Linked DNA regions of Oryctolagus cuniculus. The protein of the gene in region 2 purifies or fractionates together with the protein of the main gene of each other region. This does not show direct contact. Links are inferred from orthologs where the notes say so. Each region holds a gene or a part of one and is shown on either strand. Other genes may lie near its edges.

Region 1 (8,393 bases), on a different chromosome or scaffold from region 2:
CTCCGGGTGTGGGGCTGCTCCCGGCTCGAGGTCAGCTATGAGGGGTGCATGGTTTCTGGCTAGACCAGGCGGGTTGTCCTCAGCCCAGACCCGGGATTTTCCCTCTGGAAGGCCCCTGGATTGGCTTCAGGGCCTTTTTTCTCCCAGGTCTTATATTCATCCTCCCGGCATGAAAGAGAAGAAGGGCAGGGTCTCCAGGTAGGCTGCTCGCAGAGTCAGGGGGTCTGGCCCCATGGGCCCTGAGTTTTCTGAGGACATCCTGTCCTTGGAGAATGTCATAGGGCACCCAGGGATGTGGAGGAACTCATGATTTATTTAATGGCCACCCAGGGTACATGTCGTGCCTTGAAGAATGTTTTCTCAGTTGGGCGCTGGTCGCCCTCACGGATGAAACAAGGACCAAAAAGTCTTAGATCCATGTTGACCTCTCACCTGCACAACAAGCAGGCTCCCAGTTCTCTGCGCTGCTAATGCAGCCCCAGCCTGCCCTGACCAGCCCTGCTCTGCCCCTGCTGTTGGACATATCACTGTCTAGCAGTCCAGCTGTCAGCCTGAGCGTTCTCCCCCAGCTCAGCATCTCAAAGGACCTTTCGCGCCAGCCCAAGCTCTCCCTCTCTCTCCCCAACCCCCTTCCTGCCACTCTGTACTGTGTAAACCACTAGTCTGTAAGGGAGGGGCTTGCTCTCTGCGTGCTCCCCTCCCAGGCTTTATTCTGAGTAAACCTGCTCTGGGGGCTTCATGCTCGGGCCCCTTTTTCCTGACACCCACGACGATGACAGTCTCCTCTCCCAGTGAGTTCCCACCGAGTGTTCAGCTCCAGTGTCCGTGGTGTCCGTCACTGAATGATCTTCTGGGGGGCCAGCCAACATGATTTTTTTTTAAAAAGCTTTATTTAATTGAGAGGTAGTTACAGACAGAGGAAGAGATAGAGATCTTCCATTCACTGGTTCACTCCCCAAATGGCTGTAACGGCTGGAGCTGGGCGGATCCAAAGCCAGAAGCTTCTTCTGGGTCTCCCACGTGGCAGCAGTCCAAGCACTTGGGCCATCTTCCACTGCTTTATCAGGCCATCAGCTGGGAGCTGGACTGGAAGAGGAGCAGCAGGGATTCAAACTGGCGCCCACATGGAATGCCCCCGCACCACAGGCTTAACCCACTATACCACAGCATTGGCCTCACCAACCAACATTAAAAGAAGGACATTCAGTTGTCCAGAGCCTACCACGGGTTAGCGTCATCCTCACTAAAACCCTTTTTGAAGTTTTGAAGGGGGCTGGCACTGTGGTGCAGCAGGTTAAACCACCTCCAGCAGTGCTAGCATCCCATGTGGGTGCCAGTTCGGGTCCCGGCTGCTCCACTTCCAATCCACCTCCCTACTATTGTGCCTGGGAAGGCAGCAGAGGACAGCCCAAGTCCCTGGGCCCCTGCACCCAGCTGGGAGTCCTGGAAGAAGCTCCTTGCTTTGGCTTGGCCCAGCCCGGGTTGTTGGAGACATTTGGGGGGTGAACCAGCAGATGGAAAATTTCTGTCTGTAACTGCCTTTCAAGTGAATAAATAAATCTTAAAAACAGGAATAATACGTTTTTAAGCACGCCGTCCAGCACAGTGGCCTTAGAGTAGGACCCACCCATCTTATGACCTCCCTGTGAGCAGGGCTGCAGGACAAATGAGGGGCGGTGCCTCCAATGGGAGACCACTCAGACCTGTCCCACCACCTCCCTCACGGGAATTTAAGGGCCTCTGCGTCCTTAACTCCCTTTCCGCACCTAAGAGCCATGTGAGGAGCACCACAGAACCGCTGTTTCAGACCCACTTGAGACCCTGGCTTGCCCCGGGGGGTAAACACACTCAGACCACTAGTGCGCCCAGGAGCCGCTGTACAGTCACACATAGCGTCTAAAACATTCCCTCCCTCTGAGGGTCAGACCTAGCCTGAAATCCAATAAAGGATTTCCCGGGGCGGAAGGGGGTCCCCCGCCTGCCCGCAAGGGCCGGCCGCTCAGACTTCAGTCCCCGGGCACTCTTACCTGCTCCGACGGTCCCGGGTCTCCGGGAGCCCGCGTGGGCGGCAGCGGCCACCTTCGCCGCCGAAGGGCGGACTCTTCCGCCCTCAAAGCCTAGGGGGTGGCGCCTGGCCGCCCGGCCAGCTGTGGTCACCGCTGCCGCGTCTGGACCTGGAGCCCATGGCTCAAAGGGCCAACGCGCCCAATGGGACCGCCGAGAGACCGGAAAAACCAAGCGGCACTCGGACTTGGGGGAGGAAAGGCACACAGGGTATTACGCATGCGGACTGGACTCCCGTCCCACGTGTCGAGCCCCGATTTTCAGCTCTGCTTTGCTTTTACACATTTTTAAACCAGGAAGTTAAAAGTTACAAGGCAGTCCACGCAGCACGCAAGCATTCAGATAACTCAGGCTCGCAGCTGCGTTTCTCAAGAGCAACCTAAGCCAAACCTGGTTCGGAAACTGTTTGCTCTGGGTGCGGTCGAGCAAGCGGAGTTTAAAGTCCCTGAAGTCAGCAGCAGCCTGTCCCAGACAGAGCTGGCCAACCTAAGTGATGGGGGGAGCGGGGAACACCCCGAGAGGGCCCCGACAACGGGACTAGGGGCACACTGCTGGCCCGGAGCCGGCCGGGGCTAGGCCGCCGGGTGAGGCCCTGGGCCGGCCGGGGCGGATCCAGCGAAGCGATGCTGCCCCGGGGAGGGATGCGCGCTAGGCGGGGCGCGGCCCGGCCAGACGCTGGGGACAAAAGTGCCCCCCGGTGGGTGACCGCGGCGCTGACCACGACCGGGACGTCTCATCAAAATGCCTCCTTAATTGCTTGAAAAAAGTAAAATTAGGAGGGGAGCGGCGGTCGCCCGCACGCCGCGGGGCGAGAGACACCACCCCGGCGCGCCTGCCTCCCCACAAGGGTCCGAGGCGGTCCGGCCGGGCGCGCGCCCGCGCAGACCGGCCGCCGGCCCCAACCGCCGCACGCGCTCCCGCGCCCGGCCCGGCGCAGGCGCGGACGCACGCGCCGCCGCCGCCGCCGCCGCCCGCCGCCCCTTCCCTCCGGCGGAGGTGGGGGAGGGAGGAGTCGTTCCGTTTAACCCCGGGTTCCCCGCACTCGCTTTGCTGCGCCCAGCTTCTGGCCTGCTGACTCTTGCTCCTCTCTTTTCCTCCCTTCCTTTTCTCTGGGCTCACTCCCTCGGCCGGTACCGAAGTGTGGCTTCTAGCAAATGCGAGCGCGGAGCGAGCCCTAGCCTTAACCTCTCCCCATCACACCGGCCTCCCCCCGCCCCATCCTTTTACATAGCTTTCCATCGAACTCTGCACATTTTGCAGTAGGGGGAGGGATTTTTAAAATTGCATTTGCAAAGTTCGGTATCTGGGCAGGCAAGGCGGGGGGGGGGCAGGGAGGGAATGGGGAGCAGGCCCCGCCCCTACCGCCCTTTGCAAATAAAAATCTAGGGGGGGGGAGGAGCAGGAAGTGGCGGTGCGAGGGCTGCTGCACAGCTAGCAGAGCCGCGGTCCGGACGGCAGCGCGTGCCCCGAGCTCTCTGCCTCCCCCCGCCCGCCAGCCCGAGGCAGCCCGAGCCCAGCCCGCGGCCCCAGCAGCAGCGCCGAGAGCAGCCCCAGCAGCAGCGCCATGGCCGGGTGGAACGCCTACATCGACAACCTCATGGCGGACGGGACCTGTCAGGACGCGGCCATCGTAGGCTACAAGGACTCGCCCTCCGTCTGGGCCGCCGTCCCCGGGAAAACCTTCGTCAACATTACGGTACTGAGAGGCCTGCGCGATCCGGGGCACCGGCCGGGCGTGGATCCCGAGGCAGGGACTTGGGTGGGGGCGGGCGCGGTCTAGGGAGGGCAGCGAGAGGCCGCGACCGGCGCGAATGGCGGCTGCACGTGAACAGGTCCCTCCGTGGCCGCCCAAGTCCTACACCCCGGGCGGCGGCGACCATTGCGCCCGCCGCCCCGCTTTCCGCGACGGGGCGTTACATCCGGGGCACAGGGCGGGGAGGGGCGCGCCGCCCGGCGCGGCGGCCCACTTCCGCCTCGTCCAGGGCGGGGCGGGCACGCGCTGCAATTTTCACCAAGGATTGTGATTGAGGAGGGACTTGGGGACCCCCGCGGGCCCCCTTCCGGCCACCAGCTCGCGCCCCCCCACCATTGTTCCCCCTCATGCGGCAGGGAGCCCCCGGCGCGTGGCCTTGGTCCCATGCCCGTCCACCGTGGGCTCCCTGCCCCTCCCGACTCCGTTAGAGAGGGCGAGGCCGCCACACGCCCCCCCCCCCCCAGCTCGGCACGTTGGGCTCCACATTCCTGGGAGGCCAGTCCCGGAAGTCCCCTCGCCCGCCCTTCCCGCCATCCGGCCGGGCCTAGAGCGAGGGAACTTTGTGAGAACTTCGCAGATAGTGTGAGTGAGGGAAGGAGGGATGGCCACTGCTGGCTCCACCGCCACCTCCCTGGCCACACTGCCCGGAAGTGGGGAGGGGGAGCGGAAGTTCAGAAGGGGGGGAAGGGGATTTCCGGGCGGGAGGGGACCGGATATGGGGGTTTGGGGTGTAAAGGGGGAGGGGGAGAAAGGTTCCCTGGGGTATCTAGAACCGGGAGCCGCTTGGCGAGTCTGGCCCCCAGCCCCCTTCAGAACTTTCCCAACTTTCCCCCAGAAAGCCCCCGGGGGCTGCTCCCGGCTCGCAGGTCAGCGATACCCAGGCCTCGACTCTAGGTTCCTGGGAGACCCTGGCGTCCGGGCCCCTAACAACTCCTGCAGAACCTTTGACCAAATAAGGGCAAAGTTGCCTCTCCTGCCTCGCCCGCCCCCTCCCTTCCCCTCTCCGCTTCTGCTTTTCCTGACGGAGAGTTCTGAGCATCCAAAGGCTCCCCGCTCTGCTCGCCGCCTTCTGGCCCTTTTTATTCCCTGGGTCTGCTCTCCGCATTCAGCCACTGCGCTCTGAGCCTCCAGGGGACCGTGGCATCCCTTCCTCCTGGTCCCGGTGGCTGGGTCTGAGGGCCATCTGTCTGCACCAGCTGGAGTTCCTCCTGAGAGTCTCACTGAGGGGATGGAAGCACAGAACACCTCATCCTTTCCCCAGCCCGGGTTCCAGCTCCCACAGGGGTCGAGGGCACGTGGGCTCACAACAGGGTGGGAACCTTGGGGCACTGACTTAATGGGTGCTTGGTTCCCCCTTGCAGCCGGCTGAGGTCGGTGTCCTGGTTGGCAAAGACCGGTCAAGTTTTTTCGTGAACGGGCTGACACTTGGGGGCCAGAAATGTTCTGTGATCCGGGACTCGCTGCTACAGGACGGGGAATTCACCATGGATCTTCGCACCAAGAGCACCGGCGGAGCACCCACCTTCAACGTCACCGTCACCATGACTGCCAAGAGTGAGTGGAGTCTTACTCCTTTTAGCTCTGAGATCCTTAGCGTGCCCCCCTTCTGCTAGTCCTGTGGGTTCTTTCTCTGTGTGGTTCCCCTGCATGAAAGGGTCAGACCGGGGTTCTCCCAGTGTGCTGGGACACTGGTTAGTCCCCACCCGTTCTGCCTCAGTTCCTCATCGGATACAAAGTTGAACTGCAGTACCTCTTAGGTTCCTCCCTCTCTTGAGCTGTTCACACTAGAACCTAGAACCGTGTGTAAGAGTGTGTAGATTGTTGGTCTTCAGCCAGCATTTAGCTTTCACCTTTTGGGTTCTTTCGTTTAAAAAGTTTATGAAGTGGCAGGCTCATACACAGCCATTTGTAGCTTGAACACAGCCTGCAGCCTGAGCCTCAGACCCCTAAATTTGGGTCTGTTCCTCTCCAACATTTAAGCACACCCCCTCCCTTGAAAAGCCCTATTGTTTCAGGGTGACTGACAGCCTGCCTGTGTGTGGGGGGTTGGGAGGGTGAGGTTGGGTTACAGCCTCCAGGGCTGGACAGCTGCTGAACAGCTGGCAGGGTGGGCTGACACCTGGGTCCTGGCCTCCTTTCTCTTCTCCAGCGCTAGTCCTACTGATGGGCAAAGAAGGTGTCCATGGCGGTTTGATCAACAAGAAATGCTATGAAATGGCCTCCCACCTGCGGCGTTCCCAGTACTGACCTCGTCTGCCCCTTCCCCTCCACCGCTCCCCACAGCTTTCGCACCCCTCTCCTTCCCAAATACACACATACACCATTTTTATTTTTTGGGCCATTATCCCACATCCCTTATTGCTGCCAAAACCACATGGGCTGGGGGCCGGGGCTGGATGGACAGATACCTCCCCCTACCCATACCCCTCCTGTGTGTGATTGGAAAACATTTTTTGTTTTTTGGGGTTTTTTTTTTCTGAATAAAAAAGATTCTACTAACAAGGTGCTGTGTGATTTTGAGCATGGGTGTTAGGATGAGGGATAGGCACTGTCTTGCCTCTTTCTCTGGGCTTGGGGAGAGGGTGAAGCACCGGAACCCCAGACTGGGACGAGACTCTGCCTCAGGTCTGCCTGCCTAGCCCTTCCACGGCCTCGGTTCTCAGGCACGCTAGTGGAACTGGTGGGTGACAGAACAGAGCCGTCCAGACGGAGAATGGGTCCAAGCCTGCGGGTAAGGCAGGGCCAGTTGAGTCATCCTCATGTGGGTGGGGCTCCCCCTCTGAGTCACAGCAGATGCCTGCTGGGGCTGTCCCTATGACTACAGGTTACTCCTCCCAGGCTCCCTGCCCCCTTCACAGTTCACCTCTGCGACAATAATCTATCCTTGGTCCACAAAAACAATTTTATTAACCCAAGAAGTGAAGATCCAGTCCCCTCGCCCCTACCCCCTCAAAGGATGAGGCTGGGTAAGGGAGAAACCCGGAATGGAGAAGTCCCCTGTCCCTCAATTTAGAAGAGCAGAGGGAACAGGGCCTGTGCAAATAGGTCGCCAGAGGTTTGGGAGGGGGAAAGACTAGACCAGGATGGCGGGCAAGGAGGAAGAGGAGGAGGGAGACGGTGGGGCATCTGTTGAGGGCCCAGGAAAAATGAGGGGAGCTGGAGCTAGGGAACCAAAGGAGGTGGGCAGAGTAGGGCTGGAGCCCAGGAGCGGGGTCCGCTCTGAGGCAGGGTGATCTCTTGGCTCCCCTTCCTCATCGCCCTCCTCTTGCCCTTGAGTTTCTTCCTCCTGCTCTTCATCTCCAGGACCCCGATGCACAGGCTGCTTGCAGATGGGGCACGTCTTCCGCGTCTGAGTGAGCCAGGGGTCCACACAGCGGCTGTGATAGGCTGTAGAGGGGAAATGAGGTGAAGTGGCTGGTGCCTGCTGCCTACGGGCTGACCATGTGGACACGGGCAGTGATGGCCTTACCATGAGCACAGGGGAGTACCCGCAGCTTGTCCCCGTCCTCATATTCATCCAAACAGATGGCACACACATCATACTGGTCTCCTGGAGGGAGAGAGACCTAGTGCTGAACAGTGATTCTGAACCGTGGCTCACAAGAACACACGCTGGGGGGTCTGGCAGAGCTGAGCCCCGAGCAGGCAGGGGGAGGCCAGTCGGGGTTAGAGAGGACAAGCAGAGAAGCAGAGGTAAGGGAAGTGGGTTTGAGGGAGGAGGTGGGGGGGGGGTAGGAGGAGCGGAAATGGGGCCGGGCTTCTGTTATGGCCTTATATGGGCACTGGAGGCTCCAGGGCCAGGAGACCCGGCCTCTCCTTACCTGGTTCTTCGTTCCCTGACTGCATCTTCTCCACTCCCATATTTCTGCCCTCTGCACCTCCTCCCTCATAAGCAAAGTCCATTCCTGCATTATCTCCCCAGCTGCCTCACTCCAGCACCTTTTCGTCCCATCTCCCGTCCCCACTGATTTTCTGGGTAAAGAGAAAGGTGGCACCTCCAGTTGAGGCCCTCTCACTGCCATCTTTTTCACTCCTCATCGCCCACGTCAAACTCAGAACCAGGTAAGCTCTGAAAATGGCTCTCCTCTCCCCTCGGCCCTTACCCTTCTGATAATCATGCGTAGGAATCTGTCTCAGCTGCTCTTTGGTGAGTCGATTTCGCTGGAGCCGTTTCCGGTGCTGGATACAACGAACTATCTGGGGGAAGGGAGGTGGACGGATCAGACTCAGAAGAAAACCGGACAAGTGTGAACTCTGCCTCCAGTTCCAATCTGGGTTCCTAAGTCCAGCTCTTCCTATCATGTCCCCTGAGCTACTCACCATCACCGCTCCCATGGCCAAAACCAGCAGTCCCACAATCCCGGTGAACGGGATGAGGTAATAGCCCAGAGGGAAGCTGTTGTCTGGAACCAGAAGCACCCGAGCCCTAGGGAAGGGACAACAGTGTCACAGGGGCAAGAAAGGCCGGAGGACAAAGCACACAGGACAGAGTAACTGGTGCTGCGGCCACGGGGCGGGGCGGGGCAGGAGTGACCTGAGCTGAGTGCTGGGGGCCAGGAGGAGAGGGAGGGAGGCG
Region 2 (7,629 bases):
CCCTCCCTGCCAAGGTCACAGAGAGAACTGGAGGGCATCCAGGACACAGGCTGGCAAACGCCTCCCAGCCTCCTGCCAGCTCCGGCGGGGTCTCAGGTGCTCATCGGAAAGGAGTGTGGTGATGGATTATAAGGCCTGTCACAGCCGTTGAAAGGGGTGCGGCACCTGCGTCATCCCTGACCCCGCCGATGGCTCCCCCTTCTCAGACCGGACACCCAGGGTCTGGACCCAGCGCCCCTCCTGCCGTGGGCCCTGGCTAGGCCCCCACCTGCACCTTCCACCCCTACCTGTTTCACCCGCTCCAGGTCCGAGTCGTCACCGGAGCTGTGGTGGGAGGGGTGGGCCTCGGGGGTGGCCACCGAAGACGAGGACTTCATCCTGGGGGGGACAGAAGCGAAGTCAGAGGCCCTGCCACCCGCGGAGGCGCCGCGCCCGCCGCGCCCCCCGCGCCCGCTGCGCCCGCCGCGCCCGCCGGCCCACCTGGGCAAGGTCGTGCTGTTCTTCTCCCAGGGCCTCCGCACAGATTCTGGGGAGCAGGCAACAAACCGCAAGGTCAGGGCAAAGGATTCCTCCCCCAGCCAGCAGCCCCTCTGCAGAGAAACCCCCAGGAGAGGCCCGCCCCTCCCCCGGGCCGCCCGGCACTCACCGCTGTGGACCGGGACGCGGGCCTCTGGCTCCTCCTGCTGGCAGGAAATGAAACCGTCATGAGCAGCCCCGCCACGCTGCCCCGGGACCCCACCGAGCCCCTCACTCACACTGGCAGATTCGTCCTTGGGGGGCTTCTCGCCAACCTGCGAGGCTTTCCTCCTGCGGGAGGGAGGGACGAGAAGAGAAGCCTCAGCCCCCCCACTCGCAGCTGCGGGCCCAGGGTTCTAGAAAGTGGCCCTTGTGTGTGGGGGGGGGGGGGGCTGCACGGCCAAGGCTAAGGAAGCTGGGATGGGGGGGGGTCTTCCTGTGGCCCTCACATCTGGAACCCTAACGTCCTAAGGGGGGAAGGGACTCTGGGAACTAAAATCCTAGGAGTCAGTTTCTAGAACATTCCGCAGGCGCCACAGGTAGGGCTTTCAGCACAAGCAGCAAACAGGAACCAGAGCCCGCCCCCCGCCCCCGCCCCCCCGCCAGCCTGCAGGGCTGGGGTCCCAGGCAGGGGGGTGGGCCCAGGCTCACCTCCGGGCCAACATGGCGTTCATCTCCTCCATGAGCCCCCCGCCTGTGCTCCGGCCACTCTCAGCTTTGGGGCCCGGGGGCCCCCCTGAGACTTCCTCTTGCTGAGGACGGTAAAAGGGAGCAGAGGGCTTGCGGGTGGGCCTCCCGTGACAGGCAGCCCCCAGCCCATTGTTACCTCAGGGCCAGCCCCCCCCCCCCCCCCCGCGGGCCCCTCACCTTGCTGACTTTCCTGAGTTTGGCTCCAGCAATGGCTGCGGCCAGGCCGGGGGCTCCAGTCCCCCCACCACTGGGGCCCTGGGCTGTGGGGAGAGGGGGTGCAGGGGGTGGGCCCCCCCCTGCCGGGGGCAGCCCTGGGGGTGGGGGGGGACCCGGCGGAGGGGGCGGTCCTGGAGGCGGGGGTGGGCCCCCGGCTGGGGGAGCAGGCGGGCCTCCTGAAACAAGGCAGAGCAGGGGTGGCTCAGAGAGGAGCCAGCCCCTCCTCCAGGGGGGGCTCTGGGCTCGGCCCGCCCCCCACCCCCGCAAGCCCAGTTACCTGCGTTGCACACGCGGCGCTCCATCTGCTCCGGCTGCTGCCTGTGGGGGGGACTGCGGTCACCACCGCCCCGGCCCCTCCGCAGGGCCCAAGGGGTGGCGCGGGAATGTTCTAGACTGTCACCGACACCCGGGGTCCTCTCAGGACGAGGGTTTGGGGACTGGGGGTCCTGCGTCTCTGAGCGCCAGGGATTTTCTTAAAGTCTCAGAGGTGGGGGCTCCCAAAAGCGGGCAACTCCTAGTCCCTGGGGAGTTGGAACATTCTGGAAACTGGACGTCGGAGGATGCTGGGACATCTAGAATCTGGCAGTAAGGGCCCCCAGCCAAGGGGCCAGCCCTACCTTTTGTGCTGCTCCACCTCTTCCGGGGAGGGGCCGTTCTGGCTGGCCCACGCGGCAGGTGCTGGGGGCGGCGGAGGCCCACCTCCTGGGGGTGGCAGGGGAGACAGAGCCGGGGTCAGCCTTGCCTGTGGCCTCCCCCACCCGGCTCAGGAATCCCACCCAGGGGCACTCACTTCCTTCCTCCCCCAGACCCTGGGCAGGGGCGACACCACTCCCCCTGCCAGGGCGGCCAGGACGCCCGGGGACAGTGGGGAAGCCGAGTCCAGGTGGACCCCTCCCCCTTGCCTCCCTCGGTCCTGCCCAGCCCCGGGTGGCCAGGGGGCCCGGAGTCGCAACCACCTCTGTGTGTGGGCAGTTTCGGTTCCACAGTGGCTATGCCACACCCCAGAGGCAGGGCGGGCAGCGGAGGTCAGCGGCTGACCTCAGGTCCAGGGCTGGCAGCCCTGGCATCGCAGGGGGCTGTGAGCTGTGCAGTCTCGGGCCCCACCCACATTCCCCAGGTGAGCCCTGGGAGAGCAGGCCTGGAGGCTTTCCTGACGCCGGGGCTGGTGACAGAAGCCAGCACGGGCTGCGGGGGCTCCTGGGGGCTGGGACCAGGCTGCGTCCTCCGGAGTCCACACAGGAGCCCTGTGATGTCCCACAGTAGCGACCGAGCGGCTCCATTTTCGAGATGGGTAACCCGAGGCCCCAGCCGGCGGCCGGCACCCACCTTCCAAGGCCTCTAGGGCCTCGGCCATGCCGGCGGCGAACTGCGCCGCGTCCTCCTTGCTGCCAAAGTTGAGGCCCCAGACCTGGCGGGCGTCGCGCCACTGGTGGAAGTTGGGGGTGGCCTGATTGTACTTGATGCCCCGGACGATGGCACAGTTGATGACCACCTGGAGGCAGGGAAAGCGGGGTGAGGGCGGTGGCCCAGGGGGCGGCCCCAGTGTGTGGGGGGGATCGGGGGGGACGCGCACCTGCTGGTCCGGCTGCATCTTGCGGCCCACGACCCGGAAGGAATTGGCCGTGGGGTTGTGGTAGATCTGCACGCGGCTGAAGGCCTGGGGCCCCGTGCCCGCGGGGAGCCATTGCTTGTTGCTGTCATCGTAAAGCATCACCTTGGCCCGGCTGGTGCACACGACCATCTCACTGCGGGAGGCGCAGGGGAGGCGGGGTCACCCTCGCCACCAGGGGCAGGGGAGGCGGGGTCACCCTCACCACCAGGGGCAGGGGAGGCGGGGTCACCCTCGCCACCAGGGGCAGGGGAGGCGGGGTCACCCTCGCCACCAGGGGCAGGGGAGGCGGGGTCACCCTCGCCACCAGGGGCAGGGGAGGCGGGGTCACCCTCGCCACCAGGGTCTCCCTGGGAGACGCTGCGAGGGGGAGAGGGCGTGACACAGCCCCCCCCCCCAGGAGACCCAGGCAGAGAAGATGCTGGACGGGGGGCAGCTGAGACCAGTGCGCCCTGGGGGGTGTGAGATGGATGGGGAGAAACAGGAAGAGGAGACATGGAGACGCAGGGGAGGGAGGAAGGTGCCCTGAGCTGCTCTGGGGCCAGCCCTACCTCAGTTTCCCTCTCTGCCAAGTTTTGGATGCCCCCCCTGCTGCTCAGAGCAGAAGAGGAAGCTGAGGTCGGGGAGGGGGAGGGGAGGCCTGTGGCCGGCCGGGGACAGCACAGACCCCTGCTCTCCACTGCAAGGGGGTGCCGGGCCCCCACTGCATCCTTCCGGCTCCCCTGGGCACTACGGGCCTGTGTTGGGTGCCACTGGGGACAATGACACAGCAGTGGCCCAGATGGCCCTGGCCACACCCTCCCAGGGCTCACAGTCCAGTGCCTCAAGACACGGGTCCCTAGGCCGTGATGCCCAGGGCTTGGACCAAGGAGCCGCCCAGGCTACAGGCATGGAGGACGCGGGGCCTGCTGCCCACTCTGCAGGAGGGGGTCAGAGTTCCAGTCTGCCGTCCGCAGGCGTGGATTCAAGTCCCTGCAGAGCCCCGAGGCCGGAGCCTGCACACGGGAAATGAGGGCTGGGTGCCCGGTCGGCCTCGGCTTCCGTGCTGCGGTCACCCTGTGGCCGGCCGGGGACCTCCCACCGTTCCTGGGAGGTCGGAGCCCCCCTCCCCCAATGAGGAACCCCAGGCTCCCCCAGGGGAAGTGACTCGCCCAAGGTCGCACAGCCCAGGGGGAAGCGCCGGCCTCGGCTGGGTGCCCCCCACCGTGGGTTTTTCCTGAAAAGAGGAAGTTGGCGGCTGGGGGGGCGGGGAATGACACCCACAGAGGCTCTGTCTCCACCGGGCGGGTGCTGGGGTGTGACACTGACCACTGACACGGCCCAGCCTGGCACCCTCACGGCAGTCCTGGGGCGGACATGACCTCCCCCTCGGCTCAGAGGCGACCAGGGCCGGGATGCGCCCCCGCACACACTGCTAAAGCAGCGGCAGGGGCAGGATTCGAACCCAGGTCCGCAGTCTTGCCCCCCGGGGACTGCGCCGGCCCTGCCCAAACACCAGGTGCAAGCCAGAGAAGCAGGCCTCCAGGGCTGTTTCTGGTTCCCACTGCCCCCGGCAGGGCAGGTAGGGCTAAGGCCGCGCCCACACCTGCCACCCACACCCAGGGCAGGCTCTGGCCCGGCGCCCGGGGCCACTGCCCCACCCTGGCTGTACTTTGGGCTCCCAGCTGGCCCTGCCCTGCTGAGGCTCTGGCCTGGCCTCGGGGCCAGGCACCTGCTGGGCGACCCTGGGCGGCTCCGACTCCTGCCCCGTGAGAGCACAGGGATCCGGCTGAGACCCAGAGGAGGGGCAGCACCATGCCCCACTCTGCAGGATCCACACCAGGTTCCTGCCGGCCTGGGTGCCCTGCCTGCTCTCCAGTCTCCTCTCCCAGCGCCCACTGACCAAGGCCTGCCCGAGCCCTGTGCAGGTGCAGCCCCCTTCAGACGTCACCTCTTCCCAGAAGCCCTCCCTGGCCACCTCATCTTCCTCCGGCTTCCCCGCGACACGGTTTCCAGCAGCGTCCCTGCTTGGCACGCGCCTGTCTGCCTTGCCAAAGCACCAGGTCCAGCGGGGCAGGGATACTCGCCCCTCTGCGCACCACTGCGTCCCCGGAACCTGGAGGGCGCCTAGCACACGCTCTGAACACATCCGAGTAAAAAGGCAAACCCGGCGGCACAGTGGCTGGCGGCCCAGACCGCGCTCCCGGCTCCCACGACCCCACAGCCTCAGGAGACCAACCCCGCTGCCTGCCCGGGCACAGAGAGGTGAAGACACTTGGCCCAGGTCACACTGCACGAAAGCACCGGGGCTCCTGTCTGATCTCATTTAAGACGCGAGCCCACTTACTCCAAGCCCACTTACGTTTTAACCTCACGGAAAGATGAGGAAAAGGCTGGGTGGCTCAAGAGTCTGTCTTTCCCCCAAAAGTGTGGAGGCTGCTAACAGCGTCACACGCTGTGGCGGGAGGCGGAGGCAGGCTGGGGGCTGGGGGCCGTGGGCACGGGGCCCTCGCTTCACTCTTCCTTTTGCTAAATGATGGGGCTGGGATGACCTGTGGAGACCTAATTCCTTACTTGATTACGTTTGGGAAAAAATAAATAAACTCAGCAAAAGCCGGACGGGAAACCCCACAGGCAGGAAGCCAGGGAGAGGGACGCCAGTGGTCCCCTGGGGTCTGTCAGTGAGCGCCTCGGTCCCCCTGCCCATGAGTCGCCTCTGGGGGTCACCCGCTCAGACACCACAATCACACAAATTCTTCCAGGCCAGAGCCCTGCGACCCGGAGCCCCGGCCCCGGCCCAGCCCCCCAGCCCGGGGGTCTCTGGGGGTTGTGCGGCCTGTCTCCCACTGGGAAGTCGGCAGGCGAGGCTTCCCAGGCAGGCCCCCACCACACCTCTGGACCATCCCGCGTGTCTGTGCAAGGAAAACGCGTCATCCGCACTTTCTCTGTACTGTCCTCTCTCTGCGACAGCCTAAGAGGTCGGCCGGCTGCAAACTGGGGGCAGGGGTGACTACAAGGCTGTAACAGCTTCCGCCTCTTGAAACTGTGCCAGGACGCCGGCTCGGAGCCGGGACAGGCTGGCCACACCGGGCAGGTGCTCACCAGCTGGTCTCCCGTCGCCTCTCGAGTAAGAGCAGTTATAGCTGCTACCCCGCTAAGGCATAGCCCCTCTTCCCAGCGGCTCCCGCCCCTTCTCCACCTCCCCCAGGATCCCAGCGCCGGGTCCCACTCAACAAATATTTGTCAGAGGAGAGAAAGAACTGGTCTTGTGATTTTCCATCCCTTCCAGCTGAGCTGCCCCCGGCCAAGCCGTGGCCAGCAATCCGACCCTCCCAGCCTCCTGCCCCGGGGCGCCCTGGCCTGGGAATTTCTGCAGGATCCGGCTCCTTGGCCGGGATTGGGGGCGTGGACCGTCGGAGAGGAAGTCGGCTGTAAGCGAGCAGGGGAGACCCTCTGGTGGGACAGGCCAGGGTCGGACTCCTGCCATCCCCCAGGAGGTAGGAGGCCCCACCACGGCCACAGCCACAGCGGGAGGGGGCCCTGGGAGAGGGCCAGGGCTGGGGGTGGCGGGGGCAGGGGGCTGGGCCAGACACTGCTCCTGCCCTTTTACGGTCGGTCTCACAGCGAGCGGGGCGGCCCTACCTCGGACATCCGCCATCCGCCTTCCACGGGGCCTGGGACCGGAAACGCTGGGGGGGAGGGGCGGAGTCCCGGGGGAGGGGGGAGAGGGTGAGGGAAGCAGGCAGCCCCTGGGGCAGGCCCAGAAGGGATGTTGCCCCGCAATGGGGAAGGAACCGGCAGGAAGTCCCCAGGGTGTCTGGGGATGCCCCCTCGCCCCAGAATTTCCACCCAGCCTTTAGCAGAAAGACAGCCCTGGGGCGGGTGGTAGGGGGTCTTTAATGGTCCCAAGAAAGGAATGCCACCCTGAGGTCAGAGGGCAGGGGTGTGGGGGCCCGGGGGGAAGGGCAGGACGTTGGGCACCAGGGGGTTAATCCCCAGCCGTCCCCAGGAGCCCCCCCACCCCCAGCGCTGAGGCTTCGGGGCAGGAAGTCCCAGAGAGAGTGGAGGAAGGGAGATAGTATTGTCAGACTCCAGCCCCACGGGAGAGGTTATGGGGGACCTGAGCGGGGAGCGGGGAGGGCCGCCGTGGGTACCCCCCCAGCCCGCACCGGCCCGGCCTTCAGGTGAGCCCAGGAGTCCAGGGCAGGTCCTCGGGCCGCTCCCCCCCAGGATTAAATTCCTGGGAAGAGCGCCGAACTCTCGGGAGGCCTGGGTCCCAGGGGGCGAAGGCTGTGACCTTGACGCTTCCCCGCGCCCCTTCCTCCAATCCCACGGCTCCCGAGCGCCGGGGGGGAGGGGCCGCGGCGGGGCGAGCCCGCCCCCCCACACCAGCTGTCTCGACAGGTGAGTCAGGAAGACAAAGGCCCCCTCCCCCCAGCTGCCGCGCCCCCTCCCCGCCCGGGGCCGCGCAGGTGGGGACCGGGGCCGCCCTGCTGGCCCGGCGCCGGGAGCCGCCCTGGGCACCGAGCGGCGAGCGCTCGCCCCGTCCTAGGCACGGCCTGGCTCCTGCACAGCATGCGCGGTGGAGCGACGGGGGAGGGGAGCCCCGAGCAGCCCCG

What was found.
Region 1: the proteins of VASP (region 2) and PFN1 purify together in Homo sapiens (affinity purification with western blotting; 3 studies listed by BioGRID and IntAct, with this or other methods). This does not show direct contact. The link is inferred for Oryctolagus cuniculus from reciprocal best matches to the Homo sapiens genes VASP and PFN1.

Annotation. Positions count from the first base shown.
Region 1 is NC_091448.1:51,292,708-51,301,100, forward strand, and holds PFN1 (profilin-1), read left to right. Parts: upstream 1-2,773; 5' UTR 2,774-3,628; coding exon 3,629-3,760; intron 3,761-5,178; coding exon 5,179-5,371; intron 5,372-5,966; coding exon 5,967-6,064; 3' UTR 6,065-6,319; downstream 6,320-8,393. Other genes in the region: E3 ubiquitin-protein ligase RNF167, read right to left, coding at 6,891-7,204, 7,287-7,367, 7,921-8,014, 8,138-8,243. UniProt on the Homo sapiens protein: Binds to actin and affects the structure of the cytoskeleton. At high concentrations, profilin prevents the polymerization of actin, whereas it enhances it at low concentrations. By binding to PIP2, it inhibits the formation of IP3 and DG.
Region 2 is NC_091449.1:11,378,956-11,386,584, forward strand, and holds part of VASP (vasodilator-stimulated phosphoprotein), read right to left. Parts: intron 6,825-7,629; exon of another isoform or gene 6,653-6,824; intron 3,168-6,652; coding exon 2,996-3,167; intron 2,915-2,995; coding exon 2,749-2,914; intron 2,125-2,748; coding exon 2,040-2,124; intron 1,741-2,039; coding exon 1,700-1,740; intron 1,599-1,699; coding exon 1,384-1,598; intron 1,269-1,383; coding exon 1,168-1,268; intron 808-1,167; coding exon 756-807; intron 684-755; coding exon 647-683; intron 527-646; coding exon 481-526; intron 379-480; coding exon 288-378; intron 1-287. UniProt on the Homo sapiens protein: Ena/VASP proteins are actin-associated proteins involved in a range of processes dependent on cytoskeleton remodeling and cell polarity such as axon guidance, lamellipodial and filopodial dynamics, platelet activation and cell migration.